Linked DNA regions of Drosophila melanogaster. The protein of the gene in region 2 interacts with the protein of the main gene of each other region in a pairwise test. Each region holds a gene or a part of one and is shown on either strand. Other genes may lie near its edges.

What was found.
Region 1: the proteins of Fas3 (region 2) and Zip88E interact in a two-hybrid assay, tested with the Drosophila melanogaster proteins (one large-scale study listed by BioGRID).
Region 3: the proteins of Fas3 (region 2) and aspr interact in a two-hybrid assay, tested with the Drosophila melanogaster proteins (one large-scale study listed by BioGRID).
Region 4: the proteins of Fas3 (region 2) and CG13526 interact in a two-hybrid assay, tested with the Drosophila melanogaster proteins (one large-scale study listed by BioGRID).

Annotation. Positions count from the first base shown.
Region 1 is NT_033777.3:15,266,942-15,271,057, reverse strand, and holds Zip88E (Zinc/iron regulated transporter-related protein 88E), read right to left. Parts: upstream 2,397-4,116; 5' UTR 2,296-2,396; coding exon 2,047-2,295; intron 1,978-2,046; coding exon 1,718-1,977; intron 1,655-1,717; coding exon 1,453-1,654; intron 1,322-1,452; coding exon 943-1,321; intron 874-942; coding exon 863-873; 3' UTR 526-862; downstream 1-525. Other genes in the region: Cp190 (centrosomal protein 190kD), read left to right, coding at 1-15; CG14864 (uncharacterized protein), read left to right, coding at 2,686-4,116.
Region 2 is NT_033779.5:18,318,533-18,323,154, forward strand, and holds the start of Fas3 (fasciclin 3), read left to right. Parts: upstream 1-1,569; 5' UTR 1,570-2,155; coding exon 2,156-2,198; intron 2,199-4,622. UniProt on the Drosophila melanogaster protein: Mediates cell adhesion in a Ca(2+)-independent manner. It plays a role in axon outgrowth, guidance and fasciculation of the developing nervous system. Function in neurons is essential for adult survival, and is important for climbing behavior and activity.
Region 3 is NC_004354.4:20,146,320-20,154,171, reverse strand, and holds the start of aspr (asperous), read right to left. Parts: upstream 6,049-7,852; 5' UTR 5,914-6,048; coding exon 5,911-5,913; intron 4,111-5,910; coding exon 3,936-4,110; intron 3,575-3,935; coding exon 3,336-3,574; intron 3,228-3,335; coding exon 3,146-3,227; intron 1-3,145.
Region 4 is NT_033778.4:22,753,643-22,756,396, forward strand, and holds CG13526 (uncharacterized protein), read left to right. Parts: upstream 1-1,576; 5' UTR 1,577-1,682; coding exon 1,683-2,147; 3' UTR 2,148-2,254; downstream 2,255-2,754.

The DNA.
Region 1 (4,116 bases), on a different chromosome or scaffold from region 2:
AAGGAGGAGCTATAATTACTAGATTTATTTATGTTCTAAGTTTGGCGATTCAACGCAGGTCAGCAGATAAACGCACCTGAGCTCGGCGCGAATTTTCGGTTTCTATTGTAAATTAAATTGTTAATGAAGATCAAGGTGAATGATAAGATATGCATATGCACTGGTTTAAGTGTATAAGATCTAATCTACTCATCTCACGTAATTGTAAATCCCCTCCCATCCCAAGTATGTTGCCCTGCTAGCATGAAAATCGTAAATCTAAGAGGAGTTCCCCAAATGACCTTAAATGAGAGATCAGAGACCAAACAACCCAACATTTAGCTATTTATGAGTGTCCGTTTCTTCACACATACACCACCAATAGAGCAACCAAGCAACATTTCACGATTAGGTAAACACTATATATATATATACACATATGCCTATTTACATACATATAGAGATGTAGTTACATAGATGTTGTTTTAATTCGTTTAAAACAGTGACATGATGTCCCCAGAAAGTAATAAAATGATTGCGTTTAATGGTTGGCTAAGTAAGATTAATCAAAAGGAAAAGAGGATGCCCTTTTTTTGATTAACAACTTAATTGTAAGGTTTATTACATATAATAAAAGCATAAAAAATAACACAAACTTTGGAGAAAGAGAAAATATAAATGTAGACGAGAAGACTGAACTTTTTACTTATCCTACGGCAGATCGACAATGTACCTAAAACAAGATTAGTTGGAAATGCACAAGTAACAAGTCTTACACAAGAGATTAACAGCTGCCAATCCATAATATTATCCTAAGTGTTCTAAGTTTAAAAAGCGGCACATTTTCTCACAGCGCTGAAACGATTTCTCAACGAAAAGATGTCTAATCCTCATCTGAAAAGGCGCGAAGAAAATAGGTCAGCAATGTCGAAAGGGAAATGCAAATCACATAATGCTACGCACCAGAAAGATAAAAGTTTATGATGCACATGGTCGCAAAGCCGGCGAGCACAGTTGCAAACTGTGCAAATCCCGCCCAGCGTCGCGTTGAGTTCGAGTGCCAGCGCGCCTTCTCGCGCGGTATCACCTCGCAGACGGTGACGTAGAAGAGTGTGCCTCCGGCCAGAGCTTGGACGATAGGCAGAGTTTTGCTGGACCAAGCGGCGGGCACGTCCACGATAAGCATGCCCAGGCCAATGCCAATGACGGCGCCCAGGGCAAACACCGAAATGCCGACGAACTGGGCGCGAAAACTCGTCTGCGGATTCGAGCGGAACTCGAGCCCCAGACAAAAGCCCATCACGAACTTGTGGCAGGCGACGGCCCCTAGAAGAAACAGAACCTACGACGAGACAAAGCAGATTCCGGTTATCTAATTGGACTAAGCCCTCGCATCTCTTTGCTTCAATATTTGCCTAAGATTGCGCACTATAGCCGATCTAGTCTAACTATGTCAAGGCAGGCGGCACAGACCTTTGTGGAAGAGTTCTGAACGCCGATGGCGAGTCCTTCGATGGCCGAGTGCAGTGACAGGGCGACAAAGAGACCCAGAGTGCCTGTCATGGATTGGGCGCAGGGTTCCGTGTGGCTGGTGTGGCAGATGCGGGCGTTGGCGTCCTCTACACTGGCATCATTACAGCCAGATGCGCTGGCCGGGTGATTGTGGTCATGATCGCTGCGTAATCGAAGCACAAAGCAATTAGTTTTGGCTGCGGGAAGGGAAATGCAATAAACCTACTGGCTATGATGGTGCGAATGCCCATGTGACGTATTGGGTTCCGCTGATAAAAGGGGCGCTCGTTCGTCCACTGCGCCATAACCATTGTCATTAGTGGGACGTCTTGGTGGCTCGGTTGCTGGAGTCTCTGCATCGTGGGCATGAGTGTGCTGAATGGCCTCGCCAAAGAAGTAGTGTATGAACTCGTCGATAAAGTAGATGATGAAGAACCCGCCGCACATGGCAACCTCAGCGAATTTCGAGTCCATTTGTTCGCGCACCTGTTGCATGCGTAAGTCAGCAGGTTATCAAATTGCAGCCACACACACGATCGCAGTCCAAGCTCTTACCTCGGGCAGAATGTGCACCAGTGCGGTGGCTAGCAGAATGCCCGCTCCGAAGCACAGGAGCAGGGATGCGGTCAGCGGGAAGCGGCGACGATTCCGTTCCGATATAAAGGCGGGCAGCAATCCGAACAAAAGACTCCCGAGTCCGAGGACCAGCATAGCCAGCACTTTTTCCAAGTCGCCGCGACTCGTGGCAGCCAGGGTGGGGCTTGGGGTGATCTCCATGTTTAGACCGTCGGTTGGCAAGCTCATTGTATCAACTGCCAGACTGTGTCATCAAGAAGGGGGCCAGTAAAACACACAAAAGTTCGTTGCATTTACTATTTTTAAACTAAACAGTTGCGAAGTGTGTGCAGCTGCTTTCGTGCGAAATACCAAAACGCCTTACAATGGGGGGGCCACAGAAAAGTAAGGCATTTCAGCAGTGCGCCTTTCAGATCACACTCATTTAAACGGTTTTTTTTTTTTTTAATTTTATTTAAACATTTAAATCTAGAACTATTCTTTTACCAACCACCACCATTAAGAATTTCAATAAAAGAAGGTAGGCACCCTCTCCAATTATAGTTTTGCACTTCGACAAATGCTCCTGTAGTTAAAATTCAAAATTTTACCGTTTCCGTCCTGGTTGTCCGTTGGAAAATGCATCGTCGTTGTATAATCTGTGGCCAGGAGCCGGGCGAGCAGTGCGTCTACCCGCGCAACATGTCGGAGGCTCGCCGGTGGCAGAACTTGGCCAACCTCAGCAGTTTTGACGTCGACCCCGAATCGCTATGCCGGCACGGATGCGTTTGCGCCTCCCATTTGGATGGCCACGGATCAGGTTCGGAATCGGAGAGCTCGTCTCGTGCTGCTGGCAGGGCAAGGACTCAAGCTGGCCTGCAGGAATGGAGCAGGTGGAGCTCTTCGGCATCGGACGCTGGCCATGGCTATTCCATCAGCAAAAAGACTAACGAGCGGATCCAGAACCAAAGCAAACAGAGTCTCGGCTCGGAGAGGCAGGAATTCAGCAGCGCGAACAGATGTACGAATGGTTGCTGTCGTTTTCGAAACACCTGCAACAGCATGTTCCAGGGCAATACATACACCCAAATGGGACAGAAGTATCCCAATCCACAAACAAGGGCCACAAACTTAGAGAACAAAAATAATCCACCTATGAAATTAAGCCCAAGGGTAAATAAACCGACCTTTGGAGCTGTAAACTGCACCTGTGATGGATGCACCTGTAGTTTCTGTCCAGTGCAAGGGATCAAAAAAGCGGTAGCCCCTCTAGAAGAGGATTCAGGCAGCCAACAAAGTATAAATAAAGAGTATAAAGAAAGAAAGGATAATTCCAAAGGCAGCCCAAAAAAACAGAGTTCCTGTGAACGTCTCACTTGTCCAGCTTTCAGGACAACGGACATAAAAACTGTAGCAGATGATTTCCGCAGTAGCCCGAACTACCCGGTATCGCCAACTTCACGAGGTAACAACAAAATTAAAAGTTCGATGAACCAGCAGAATACGAAGAAAAAGCCGGAGCTGAAGAGCGAATGCTGCCAGACGTGCATCACCCAGCAATTGAAGGATCAGGAAGTGCAGTGCTCAACGGTGACGCTGCAGACTCAGAGCTCTTCGCCTGTTAGGCGAACCAAGATGACCGGCTCGTTCAGCCATCAAACTGGAAGCTCAGCGACAGGTTTATCTGGCGGATACACCAATAATTCGAATAACTTTACTTGTGGCGGCGGCGAGAGAAGAACTTCAAATGCAATCAACGTGCTGCTTATGAACGGCACCCGGAATAATGACTATGAAGATGGGTGCTGCTCTCCGGCGAAGCAACGTCCCATGGCGCCGCCTCCAGAGATTTGCGTTCAAGAGTCCGATCTGACCGAAAATGATGAGCGAGCTGTGTTCCCGGAAATCGACAAGCCCAATTACAGAGTTTGTCGATCCTCGAACGAGACCAATGTTCTGGTCCTGGAGGAGAGTCCTTTGAATGATTGCAGCCCCAACCCAGGGCAGGATGCGAGTACACTAGATAGCAAGACGAAGAGTAATTTTGATGCTCAACAAAACGCCAACGAT
Region 2 (4,622 bases):
TAATTATTATGTAAGCTGTACGATCGCTCTATTTGGTAGCCATTACAAACTTCCTAAGTACTGCGTAGCTTACTATTTACTGTTCTCGCCATAAATCGAGCCTGCGTTTACATCATTCTAATCGAAGTGGGTTTCAGGTCACAGTCCCATTGCGGGCGATTCTGGGGATCTGGAACTGTGGCAAACACAGCGGAATATTTGCGGAAGAGGGAGCGGGAAACTGGGAACGGGAATCGGCAACCAGAACGAGGAGCCACTGTGCCAAAGATTCGCTCTCGGTCGGAATTTGTATGTGTGCCATTCGACAACACGACAGGCAAACAAAAGCCGGCGAAATCCAAGGAGGCGGCCGGCAAGGGGGTAGATTATCAAACGACAAATAGACAGAAATCCGGCAGTTGCAGCAGCAACGGCGACAGCCTGAAAGCAAACTTGGCCAAATCAACAACAACACCAACAATACCAGCAATAACAACAAGAGCGAAAGCTGCAACAACACAATGCACAAGAGCCAAACAAATTCAAATCAAACTAAACAACAAGAACAGCGGCGGCAGAAAGTATTACACTGTATGGAGTGCCCGTTTAAATTCTATTTACTTGCAACACATGTTTATGTCGATCCGAAATAATGTTTCTTTGTCCATCTAATTTATATTTATTGATTTGCCTAACCTTAACCAATTGGGTCGTAGCAAATTATCACGCGGTTTAAAAAAAAACATGCTTTCGGAACTTTGGGCCATTGATTCTACTGTTAAATGTACTTTTCATCTATTTAACATTAGATATTAAAAAATGGTATTAGGAATAAATCAATCCATTTGTGGGTCAAATACGACCTATTAACGGCTTCTAACTTGTAGATATTAGGTAAATAAATACTGTACAAACCCATACTCATAATATTTAAATTAGCACCATGCTAAGAAACTTTATTTGAACTCCAGTTATGACGCAAAGGAAAATAGAACACGTTAGTCACCTAAATTTTTCCACCTAAATAGATGTGTCATCAAAACCGGAGATGCAGGCTAAGCTCTAATGAGTTTGTTATTTTCAACAATTCACTTTACATTTTAAATTATAAGCAACAAAATACATATTTATTAGTGGAGCACACTGCAAAGACTGTTTTGCTAGGTAAACGTTGATTAAAAGATTATAAATTCCTAGCACCCACCCAATTCCCTGTGACCTAAATAATAATTGTAAAAATAAATTATAAAAAACTGCAGCTGCTATAAATTGAAACCATTATTTTTAGGTAGTGTGTTCAAGTCCATATACCCCCGTAATTTAAAAGTACCCTGTACACACAGTCGCTGTAAAGCGTAAACTAGAACGAGCAATGCTGCTAGCTCGTCGCGCATGTAGCGGCAGCAACATGCAGCCGCAACATCGACAAACGCCAGCAACATCCAGCGGCAACATGCAACCCCAGCGACTGCATATGTAAAAACGCATACGCCTGGTGTTCGCAGCATGCTGCCGCTGTCGCTGCCGCAGCTGGCGCCGACGTCGCGGCCGCTGCGCTGCCCATGTTGGCAACTTTATAAACACGGAGCGGATTCAGTCGTTTGGTAACTGTTGCTCCTATCAGTCGTTCTCTGTCGCTCTTGGATTGCGTGGGCACATCGGTCGTTCGGCATTTTGGGTTCGGCATTTCGGGATTTGATATCGTTATTCGTGTCGGAATCGTATAAACCTGCGTCCGTGTGCGTTAGCCGGCCATTGAGCACTATCGCTGCCACTGGCATTTGGCCCACCGTGTGTGTTTACAAGTGTGGCATAATCTTCGATTAGCGCAAACCAACCGATCGGATATACCCCTTGAAAATAACAAATAATAGCGAGGAGTTAAAAAAGCATCCAAACACACACTGCACACCCCAAAACACACACACACACCCACACGTCACATAAAAAATATAAACCAGAGCCTCAGCGGCCGTAAAGTGCCACCAAAACGTACTTGGCCGTATATTTTATGCATGAAAAGCTAAAGCAAGTGCAACCAAACGCCTGAGTGACACCAAGAAAAAAAATTCATACACACATATAAGGAAACCCAAAAAAACAAAACCGGGATTACTTATACGCTCACGCTCAGTAGAAAAAATACGCGAAGCCAAAGGAAGTCAGCAGCAAAATCATGTCACGGATCGTTTTTATATGTCTCGCAGCCATCTTAACAGGTAAGAATAAACAACGGCTCAGAGGAAAGTAAAGCCAAAGTCGCGCTCATGAGATGATATCACGCGCTCGTTTAAGACCCGCGCAAATGTGTGAAAAAGTTTAGCTTACTCTCAGATACCTATGTATATGAATAAAAAGATGCTACCCAAAAACGTGTTCTCACCTCGAGCTGTATAAAAATATCATTGTTGAACGGCAAACTTGATTGATGAGAAGACATCGCCCCGCGGGGCTGTGGAAAGTGTTGTCTTTATGAAAGTGATGATTGAGTGAAAAGTTCCCTGTCATAATATCCATGAAATTGATAGTTCCTCCTCTTTTGGCGGTTGACCCGGTTTGGTCCATAGCTCCAACTGCGCATGCTCAGAGTGTGACCGAAGCTGTTTTGAATCTGTGTCCGTGCCAAGTGTGACCTTTCGCATCTTGGGGTACAGCTGGCATTTGCCATGCGCCAGCACAGGTTGAAAAGGTCAATTACACTTTGGTCTTCTATGGTGAGTCCAACCAAATTGGGCTTGCCCGAAAGATCTTCGCCGCAGATGATTCACGGATCGTTTATTTTAATTAATCGGTTTAGTAGCTGTTTTAATGGATTTTCTTTGGTTTTGTGTTCATACGTGATAGGGTTTGATAGCTTTGTGTGCCCATAAGAGGTTTGCTTGGTTTTATGACAGTATTAGACTGTTTAATAGTTGTACTTTATTGGAACCGACTTGTGATCAATAATGTGTTTTTGAAATGTATTTTGCCTTGGAATATAATTTTGTACTATATCAATACTAGTTTCCATATTTTAGCATTGGCCCCCAATAATGTAGAATCTAAAAAAAACCTTGTAGATGGTAATACGTCTCAATATTCGCTCCACTGTAATTAGTCTTTATTTGGCTCCTTTTTTAATTTATTCTAAGTGCCGCATCTTGTGCCAGCATGCATCCTTGAAATTAGGAGACAACATCAGCATCCACTTGAGCATTACTTTCATCTCTTTGTACCACGTACGAATGCGGATATAAATTCTATGCCATCATCAAGGCCCAAAAACGCTGTCGGTTCTATTTAATTAAAATCCTTCAATGTTTCAGCCGTGCTTATTATATTGTACCCTCTTATTACGTCCTTGAAGAGCGAGAAGGATATATGGGTGCAGAGCTAGCTGGGGAAACTGAGACAGATTTCTCATTAGCTGAAAAGAAGATGCTGGTTTATGCCAAAGCCTAACAACATTAACACAACACACGGCACATGAAGCTGTTGCTTTTGCAGTTGCCTCATTACTGCCACAGCCCCTCGGCAGATTCAACCGCCCAATGGTAAAGCCACCCCCCCCCCCACAGAACCACCCACATGACGTGACTTTAAGACAGCCGCGTTTTATTCAGTTGCTAAGCCTGCCTGGAACCTTTCAAAGGTTTACGAAAATGTAAATGCAAAAACTGCACACAAAAAACCAAAATAAAGTACACCAGGAAATCCACTGCAGGTTCAACCCTTCTCCCTATCTCTTTCCGCTGTCCAGTTGCCGTCTTTTTCTAGCAGGGCTTTGCCACTTCACACTGAATACTTTTACATTTTTATAGGACTGACGCATCGCAGACATCGCATCAGTTGACTGCCGGCTGGCTGTTGTCTTGCAATTATAAATGTTTAATGCAGCTCCGGCCATGGCACCATGGACCGTTTTTTCAGACGGGCATGGGCCGGAAATTTAACTATCCGACCCAAAGGATACGCTTAAGCGTGCAAAAAAGGACAAGAGTCTCAATAGTATTTAACAATATTCTATGGGAATTGAATTTCTTGTGGTAATAGTGTTTATTAACATGCGAATATTGCCAAACGATTTATTTATCGCCACTGTTTCTGGATACTCTCCAAATGTACTTAAACTTTAAATTACTACCCCTTGAGATAACTATCCGCTTTTTTTTAAATAAAAATAAACTCTCCATGGCATACTCCACTTTCGGAACTATATATGTATATGACCAGAACCCACATAAAAATCAACCACAATTTCCTTTGCAAACTTCCCATTCAATTTTATGGACGCTCTTTGTGCAAGGATATAAAAAAGGGATGAAGGAGACACGAACTGCAACATGTGCAGCATGTAAATAAGGCATTGCATCCAAAAACCATTCACAGTAATTCAAATGGCCAAAAGGAGCTGCAGTCGTGACGTATTTAGTTATGACTGCCTCATCTAGGAGCGAACAAAAAGCGGTCCAGCATTTATGCATTTTAATGGCCACCAATTGAGGCATGTTCTATGCTATATTTTGTACATACATATATCTACATACATATATGCCATCTGGTATGGTCACAAAAAAGATCCAGGCATTGAATTAAATACGTGCAGTGTTTGCCCAGTTTGCCGCTTCTAAATGTGACTCGTCGGACAGTGACTGTTACTGCGA
Region 3 (7,852 bases), on a different chromosome or scaffold from region 2:
TTTGGAAATGGACGACACACAGCAGTGTCGTAGACTCGCCCACAAAGCTGTCTGCAACAGTATATTTTGAATGCGGCATGGCGATGATGGATTCATTTCCATCTGAGCAAGACTTTTCAGTAAGTAAGTGCTATATTGCCAAGTTCAAGTGTCGATTTAGTTGAGTCTATGAAAAGTTCAATCGGCCGACGAAGGAAGTTGTTTTCCACCCGACCTTTCACCTTTCACCTTTCACCATCGTTGGGGGTTGTGGCCCCTGTCAACATCCGCTGTTGCTGCCCCATTTTTGATTTATGCCGGGTCATGTGACTTGTGTTCCGGTCAAATCGGGAAAATACCTCCAATGGGGCCAATAATTGGGGGCCGGCCACTCAAAGTGGGCAAATAGAAAATCATATTCAAATAGCCGGGCTCATTTATGCGCATATTTTTGGTTTTTACCCCATATTTTCTTTTATTTTTGCACCAATTGTTGTTACTCGTCGTTCAAGATGATGATGATGATGATGGTGATGATGATGATGATGATGATGGTGGTGGTGCGGTGAGCAAGTCAAGAAATTAGTTTGCGTTGTTTTCCGTTCCGATGGCAAAAGTTTCGCCATTATCAGGCCTTTTCTCTTACATTTCCTTTTGACATAATTTGCGAGAAGCAGCAACTTTTCCGCGCCGGGAAAATGTATTGTAATGAAATGTGGAGTTCGGTTTTGAAAATCGATTGCAAAATGTCTTGCAACGAAAGTCGGAAATGCTCGTCGTCGACATTAAATCGATGTATTGGTAGATTTTCTTCGAAATATATAGCTAACCAAATAGTTATTTTTTATTATCGGCGTGGCAAACGCATTGTGGACCTTTAAATGTTAGCAATTCATTTGTATTCCTGCACGAAATCTTTAAGGCAAATGTCCGTGAATGTTTTCAGTTGGTCTGCAACACGCCCAAAGGGAATCGCAACTGCTTCGGCTCCCCAGGAACATGAATGGAAAAGAATCCGGTGTCCTTGGGGCGGCAGCAGGGAACATCATGGAGCAGGGAATCCGAGCTACTTCCATTCCCCGCAGACTGTTCGTTTGCAATTATTGTTTCCAAGTCAGTTGCTAATTGGAAATGCAAATAAATATTGTATTTCAATGGGAATTGCACGCAAACGGAGGCCGGAGTAAAGGCAACACAGAAAGGGATTTAAGTGAAATCAAGAATATATGTATATCGGAGGACCAGTTAAGATGCAGAAATCGGAAAAGGGGCGAGAAATGCCAGGCCCTTGGACTCGACACGAATCCCGAATGAGCAACCAACGTAGAGATGCAATTTATTGACGCCGACTCTTGGACGGACAGCAATTGAAATTGGTTTTCAACTGACTTTATTTTAAAGAAATTCAAGCCAAAGATAATATTTAGCAGCTCAATATTGGCGTTAAAAGTTAAGGAATATAATAGATTCGTTGAGGTAGAAGACCCCCCCCCCCCCCCCACCCATCAAATAATTTCCTGGTTAGAAGTTCTAGTTAATTTGCCTTTTGAACATGTGCGTTTGTCCGTTCGTATAAAAGCCAGAATGTTGGTAATAAACAAGCAGGTCCTAGTGACATTTACACCGCTCAACTTTCACGGTCACAATTTAGAAAAAAGCTTTCAATTATGTGTTAATTTTAATATTTATAGTTAAGAAATTCCCAGCAGGAATTATTTCAACTAATGACGGAACCTGCGCTTAGCCACTATTTATGGCAAGTTCTGAATATGAAGTGTTTGGAAATGTTACTATTCCCATTTAGAACGCTTAAATATTTAAGCCGATCAAATTACGTTCAGTGTGCTTCAGTTTGTCGTTCTAAAGATGATATTTTTCAATCAGTTTCTTGCAGTGTAGCCCCCGGGTGGATCAAGTTGTCTTCTTCCAGCGAAATTCCCAAGCCACTCGGCCGACCTGTGCTACCTGAATGGTAGCTGGCCGACCTGCGCAGCTTATGACCATAATCGGATGTTGACTGGTGCCTAACCGGGGCCACCTTTCGGTTCCGTCGGATTCCAGCTCTACTAGGCTCGACTACGGACACTCGTTGGCCTTGAGAGCTCGCCCACTGCGTCCTTGATCTTGACAATTGCGAAGCGAAATGCTATGCTAATTACCATAAAATTACAAAGGCCCCAAGTGTTGGGCGTTGGCCGTTGGCTTTGGATTATTATTATTATTATTATAATTCTCATTATCATCGAGTGCAAAATGTTATGCAAGCAAGGTAAACCCACATGCTGTCCAGAGGCCCAGCCCCCTGTTTTTGTCAATACACTAGATTTGACCAAATTTGGCAATACCACTTGGATTTGCGACGTCATCTTGCCACTTATCTAGCACCTCATTGTGGAGAAGGGATTCGCGAGTGGGCTAATTAATCGATGTACCTATGTCAATCCATGTCTATATCTATGCATTTCCGGAACAATCAGTCGTATGTCCACTTTGCATTAATGCAAAAAAAAAATAATAATAATAAATAAAACATAATAAACAACATGAGTTGTTTACAAATTGTTTACAAATATGTCGCGATCTATGTGTTCATTTAGTTTGAAATTTTTCTATTAGACAAGGCATTGCATTATGCCAATTTTCAAGTGCATTCGTGTATTGCCAATAATTTTAACACTGCAAACACTCCGCTCCTCTTGGTTCATCTCATTGTTATGTAACTCAGTAAAGAAACCTGTTTGCCCTTGATTTAATTCAAGTGGTCAAGGCTTATTTCTCGGCTTGGTTTTCACATCCACACTATGTATGTACATACATGTATGATCACTTGCATCTTTTAGCTAATTAAAATTTTAACCAGCTGATGATTGTAATTCATATATTATTAGTACATAATCAATGTTAAGATGTGCGCGTTAAGAACTAAGAGCTTTTAATTGATTCGATCATCTACTAGTACATATATCTTTAAATTGTGCATTTCTCAGATTTCCCAATTAATTAATTTATTTAATCGTGAAACGAAATACACAATCGAAGCGGATTGATTTCAACAGCTCCCAGTTGAGCGAACGACTCTTATGACACCCGGCATTTTAATCGATTTTGAGCTCTGCCACGCCTACCCCGCGGCATGTGGGCGGTAGTGGAGTGGTCAGGCACTTACCCGGATCGTTGAGGTGGCAGGCGTGGTATGGGTCGCCATTGTAGCCGGCGGGGCAGCTGCACACGGCCACGTGGTTGCGGGCCTGGAAAGAGCAAGCGGAGGTGGCGTAGAGTGCCGATGGTCAGAATGCGAGGGAATGCGCCAGAAGTTGGCCGTGGAGGAGTGTTGGCGACATAAAAGTCCCACTTACGTCACAATTGGAGCCAATGCCACAGGCACCCACGCAGGGATTAACGCAGCGATTGTCCTTGCACTGCAGGTTGTCGCGACAGTCGACGTTGTCCAGGCACTCGCCGCGATTGCAGTGGGTGAGCGGATTACCGCTGAATCCGGGCGGGCACGAGCAGACGGGCCGTCCTCCGGAGGCCTCCTGGCACACGGCGTTCACGCCGCACGGGCTACCGCTGCATCCGCTCGCGTAGGACTGCGCTGTGTGGGCGAGAGGAGAGGAGAGAGGCACAGGCGGTGAGGTGATGCACTGGTGCGCAGGTGAACTTGTGTCTCAATCTAATCTCTAATGCTACGCTACTACGAGTATGGTATGTACATACATATGTATACTATACTATACTATACTATACTATACTATATACTATACTATATATATATAGGGGTTAGGGGTTAGGGGTTAGCTACTGCAGACACATTTGGGGCGCGGGGTCAATGGTCAAGGATCAAGGGTCAAGGGTCAGGGGTCAGGGTGCTGGCGGCGGTGCTCTCCTCCTATGTACATCGTGCTGGTGCGGTAAGACTACGAATACGGATACTGATAGGCAAGCTGTGTAAATACCACGTGTGTAGACCGGATCTCTATAGACAACCCGCTGCAGGGATCGCCCATCGCCGTAGGTGTAGTAAGTGCGGTACGTGCAGTTCACGCAGCGCTTCCCCAGCTTTTTACCTGCGGCCAGTTGGGGCAAGGACGCGATGGCCACCGCCACCAGGGCCACGACCAGGAGCTGCTGCTGCAAGAGAAGGATCAGCTGCGATTAGTGCTGCTATCACTTGAATTTAAATTCAATACGATACCGATCTAAGATGAATATAATATTTGAATATATTTGAATACTAACTTGAAGTAACTCCAAATGGAGTGCATTCACTAGTTCTCATTAGTAACGAAACTAAATAAAAGACAACGGTAATACAAAGATAAATGTCATATTCTGCGTCAATCGTAGAGCCAGTCGAATGAAATGAGTTTGAACTGGATTGGGATTCATTCACTAAAGTATTCGATATGAACAAACATCTCAATCGAGAAGCGAGTATCACGCCCCCTTTGCCGGTTTATGTGTCATAATCGCATTCGAGTTCTGAAAAAGCCCAATAAACATGACTAACTCGATGATCCGCTGTTTGGTAGCAAACATTGGCTTGGACTTGGACTCTCAGTGGTCAGTGGGATTCTGGTGGCACCATGTTTGGGCTAACTGGGCATGGAGATGAGACGAGACGAGACGAGACGATCGAGATGATGATATGGCTTCGCTCTCAAGGTGGCGATCATTGTTGGCGAATGACACATGGGTGATAAACTTGTTGTCCGCTTCTTTGGAAGCTCAATTCGGGCTAAAAACAATTATTCAAATATCGGCATACAATAAGAATATGCAAATGGGGGTCGGCTGCCTTTTCGAATTACTCTGAATGACCAATATGGTAGTCCATGTTCGTATCAACTAAGTTGTCGATCATCGCGTAAATGGCACGGATGGATCCACCGAGGGAGGAAATTGGATTTTTTTCTTAAATCACACATCTTGCAGGGTGATTTATAATCTGATTACATTGCGCAAGGGAAGTGAAGTGAATCAGAGCCATATTTGTTATATTATATATGTACATACATATGTACATTTAAATAATTGCTTTTGGAAGGGCGAGAACTAAATAGTCAACTATATAATCTGTTCAATCTTGAATTAGTTAAATAAAACGTAAAACCTGTCAGAGTTTAGATTAAATTAATGCTTTCTAAATTTAAATAATGAGCAAGAAAATGTTAAGTGCTCAACATAAGTAGGTAAAAAGGTAAACAATTCAAATCTATTGGACTTTTTACTCTTCTCGTAATGGCAATTAAAATAACAAGCTATGCTAAAGTGCTAGAAACTAATTGGTTTGTGTTTTTGGCTTTGTGCACAAACAAATGAATAATGGGCTTGATGTTTACTTGGGCAGCTTAAAAAGCGTTGAGTGATTGATCATCGCCAAAAAAAACAAAAAAATGGGCAGATAAAAGGCAGATCGAAGACACTCAAAAGAATAAACCGATCGTGGGCTTCAGAAACATTACGAGTATGTGGGAATATTTCTTGGTTCATTCGATGTATTTGCAAATCCATTCACCACTATTCATCTAGCCGGAAGTAAATAGCAAATAGCAAAGTTAAGTCCTTACATTGTGAAATGAATATTTTTTTTGTCGTGTTTGCTTTAAGTACATCAATATTCCATTCACGTATCATTTACTGAATGCATATTTTATGTATTGCCTTTGTGCGTAATTTTTTCACTTAAGTTTTCGCGGTGAAGAAAATAAACAGCAAATAAATGTGCAAGTTTAAATCTATATACTTATTCGTGATTCAGATTCTTTCCTTAAATCGAACCCATTTTTATTACTTTTATAAAATTGTTTATAAATTATCCATCGTTGATAGATTGCTTCAGTTTAGATGATTTAAAAAAAAAAAAGGATATATTCCTTAACACACGTTTATATATACATATTGATTTTGGTTATTCCCACTGCAACTCACCATTTTCGGGGTTCAGTTCTTAGAAAACACTAGCACTACAGCAGATAAAGAACGTAAAATAAAAAACAAAACAAAAAGTGTCAACTGATAAATGGTTGCGATTTCCCACTTGGCACGCTTCGCTTTCAACTGAGTCGGCTTCTAGACGAGCTTGGGCTATTTATAAGGCCGCAACTCTTAACTTGGCCGAGAAACAGCTGAGCGACGTTGGCGTCATCTCTCAGCTGCTCTGCTCTGCTCTGATCTGCTCACCTTCCCTTCCCGAATTCCCCTCTACCCCGCATCCACAACCCTTCCACTTACACAGAGAAAAAACTATAGTATAGCTTGATATTAAAGATTTGTAAAGTAAATTATCTCTCCTCAGGTAGTAGCATCCAATAGTTGTTGTAATTTTAACAAAATAAAGATCGGAATTTACCAAATTCATTAGTTTTATAACTAATTTACCATTATGTCTGCATAAGTTCAACTTGCTAAACTAGAAACATTTCGAGTAACGAAAGCAGTAGATCAAATTGATGAAGTAGTTAATTTAGTTATATATATTTGTTCAGCCTGTCAGTTGGAAAACTATTTTTCCCAATGCACCAGCATTCTGTCTCATAACTCTGTTTGACAAGCTTGTTTTGCTGTTTGTTGACTTTGTATATTGTGCTGCTCGATTTTAGCTAAAATCATTTCAGTCCAAATCGCTTCTCAGACTGAGTCATTCGTACACACATACATATACATATATATACATATATTTGCCTGGGCATCGGGCTATTTATATACGCGTACTTGACGCGACTTTGCTTCGGATTGTTTTGGTCATGCCTTTGCTATGATGGCTCGATTTCTGCGTGGGCCGCTGCATCCAAGTGCCGTGGGTCGAACTTGGCTGGGCTTCCTACTAAACACGGCTCCGGATCGTAGGCAACTTGGCTGTGAACGAAGAAATTGCCCACTTGACACAATGGGCAGGTCGCTAGTACTAGGCGGTACCTGGTAATATATGTACACACATATTTCTGAAAGCATCCAAAACTAAGCGACTCTTTATCTTTGTAGGATTTAAAAGACAGTTATGTCATTTAAATTTACAAATCTATTATACTATAATTTATACCGATTCTTCAAACAGAATGTATCTTATCCGCACCGGATGCCTATTACTACTAACTGGGGGAAATATTCAATATGGTCATTTCGCTAAGGTTTTTTCTTCTTTCTATTTCTTCTTAATTGGGCATAAGATATATGTAGATAATCGCATTACAAAATTTAATTAATTTCACGAATTTACATATTTTTCAATCTGAAATATGTCGGAAATTGAGGAGAACAAAAAATCGCCCATTTCCGTTCAAATAGTAAGCGAAAAGAGAATATACATAAATGAAAGAAAATAAAATTTGAAAAAAAAAAAAAACTGAGAGGCCGTAAATATTCTTGATTAGCTTGAGGTATTCCGATTCACTCATACCACACAATAAGCCAATTGGGTATTTCATTGAACATCTTCACTAACTCACTCTACCGTTTCCTAAGTCCATTTCAATGGCATTCGAGTTTAAAATATAAGCTTAGCAAGACCGGCTCCACTTTCATTCGATATCAAAAAGAACGGATTAAGAACAAACGAATCTGCACTGGAATCGAGCCAATTAAAACGAGAATCTTGACTTCTGCTGGCTGCGTGGGCATTGGTTAGAATGAATAATAGAGATGGTTTGACCTATAGCAATAAGATAATGACCATTTGCCAATTTGCAATCGACTACCATTTTCAAATGAAATGGCATCATTGAATGGCATCGCTTAAGCTCCGCAAATCGAATCGATATGGGAATATTACAGATTAAACTGCAAATTGAAACGTACGCCAATTGGCCATAATTGAATGAGAATTCACCTGACGACCGATACGGGCACCTGTTCTTTGGGCCAACTTAATTAT
Region 4 (2,754 bases), on a different chromosome or scaffold from region 2:
TTTGCGCTTGTCGGCGTTAACAAGCCACAGCCATGCGTTTAACTAAGCGTAAATGTAACAGTGTGTGTGTGTGTGTGCGGAAGGGTAAGGGGGTGGCGGTTGAGGGGGAGTAGATCCTGTCAGCGTGTGACTAAAGTGTGTTGGTGTGTGTGTGAGTGTGTCGGTGCGGTTGGGTAGCAGCAACATTGTTGCAAAATGATTTTGAAAAAAAAAAACCATCAATAACTCAAATATAATGACAGTTTTCCACTTGTTGTTGCCCGTCACAATCACCCGCCGCCCCTAGCTGCCAACCACCACCATCCCCCGCCCCTAAGTGGGGCTAAATGGATGAATAACTTAAGCCAGCTGCTTCGCCTTTCCTCTTAGTGTGCGATGTTATGTAATGTAATAACGTCAATCAAATTTAAAAAGGCAGACCAACTATTTCAAAATCAATTTTCCTGAGACCCCGCCCCAGCGCCCCTTCGCCATTGCGCCCCCACCCCCTTTTCATGGAAGCGGTGGGAATGTGGAAAAGTGGAAAGGCAGCGGAAGGAAACAGGAAAGCGAGCTCGGCTTAAGCAAATACACAAGCACAAGTTGTTGCAGCATCAGAGGAATCCTGAGTGGGCTGTTGCTTGTGGAGCGGAGGAAGTAGGCTAATGTAGCAGAAGAAGACTCCGGACTCAGTCACTTTGCAAACAGTATCCCCCACTAAGCTCTGACTAGCGAAATTTGCAGCCAGGCACCGTGACACCGAGTGAAAAAGTGCCTGCCATGGTTAAAGTTGGGTTTAAACTTTTGACTGGCCGTGGCGCGTGGTTTTTGCCCCCGGGAGAAATGTATCATTCGTGTCATTAATCATTCGTCATGTGGGACGGCGACAACATTTCATTTGCTTATCATCCGGCTCAAAGTCTTTGGGGGAATGAACGCAACAAGAGCAGGCCTCAAAGTTGAATGAATCAAATGGGCTGTCGGAAAACTTATTTCTAAGCCTAGAAATCCCTGACAAGTCAGTGGCTTCGCGTCCCCTGCGATTGTAGGGATTTGAGGAGGCGGAGGTAGAAGCATTAGACAGAAGGTGTGGTTAAATAAATGTTTTCTTATTTGCTGAAATTACAGCAGTCTTAATTAGGATTTTCTCAAAAATATTTCACAGTATGGTTGAAATTTAAAAGTCCAACTATGATAGCATTTATTCAATATAATTACTTGAAACTGGACAGGGATTACAAAAAATCCTTTCAGCTAGTACAAGAGCATCCTTTCAATTTATATGCCCGCTTGATTTTTTATGGCCAGCACTCCACAGCACAACTACTGCCCATCATCATCATCATCGTCATCTAACATCATTCCTGTCCCATGGACGGCCACTCAAAGGCAAGCGCTGAATTGACAAATTGATGGATGGTTCTCCAAACGTTGCATGCTTCAGCATCTCTGCTTTCCTTATTTTTTCCCTTTATTGCCCCTTGTACGAGTATATGATGCATTATTATTCCGGAAAAGTTTGTGACCGCAACAACAACAATTGCTTGCCTAAGTGTTTTATTAGCCATCGAGAACAGAGTTTGAGTTCGGTTGAGTTGAGTTGATTGTCAGTTTTCATACACATCGGTTTTTCCCCATTTCTCCTTTTTTTTTTTGTATTCCTGATTTTCCTGAACTACTTTAGGGTTTTATTTGCTAGTGCCATGCCTTCTTTTTCCGGCAATGAGCTGACGAATGAGCATATCGACGAACTGAGGGATGCCTTTGAAAAGTATGATCTGGACTCGAATGGCACATTATCAGCCAACGAGGTGCGACTGGCTCTAATATCAGTGGGTTACGAAATCACTGAGGCAGAGTTGTACGATCTCATCCATTCGGTGGCTGTGAGAGACGAGGAGAGGCTGGACTTGAAAAAATTTATACGCATGATGGCGCCCCGAATGGCCAATGTGGATAGTGATAAAAGTCTATGCCGGACCTTTAACATGATTGACCGCGATCGCGACGGCTACGTCACCGTCCAGGATGTTCGTGCCATTATGGTCGTCCTGGGCGAAGTCGTAACCGATGACGATATTAAGGATATCTGCCAAGCAGTCGATATGGATGGCGATGGTCGCATAAGCTTGCGCGATTTCGTAGGCTTTATGCACAGCCCCATTTGAGCTGAGACAGCAAGCAAAATTGAACATTTTTCATACAGAGTAAGCAAACAAACAAAAATGTATCTCACAAATCTATTGTAGATTATAATAAAAATTATTGTTTTCATAATTATTAATATATTTAATTTTTGTGTAAAAAGCCAGTCAGTGTTTATGAATTTTCGTTTAATTTTATAATGGTTTTTTTTTTATTTAAAATGTTCTTTATTTTGTTTTTAGTAGGGCTTAATGTTTGAAGTACTTAAAAATTGAAATTCAATACATAGACGTACATATATTTCTGCCTGCTGGCAGAAAAAACGAAGGCGGCTGAATGGAAAACGGAAGGAAAAAATTGAGAGCATAAAGCCAGAAATTAATTCAACAGCACGTTTCGTCCATTAAGCCGCCAGAGCTTTGCTTGCTGACTTTGCCATCCTTTCGCCACCGCCCCTGCCACTCCCCCTGCAGGACATGGACATGGACACATGTGCAATGGCCGCACACACAAACACACATGCAAAGTGTTGTGTAAACAAGTCAGCTGCCAGTTGGCTGGGCGCTGCAGGCGGGGCTCACAGTAGGGGAAGAGCTAGAAGATGAAGAAGGAGCTTATCCAGAAGGAACG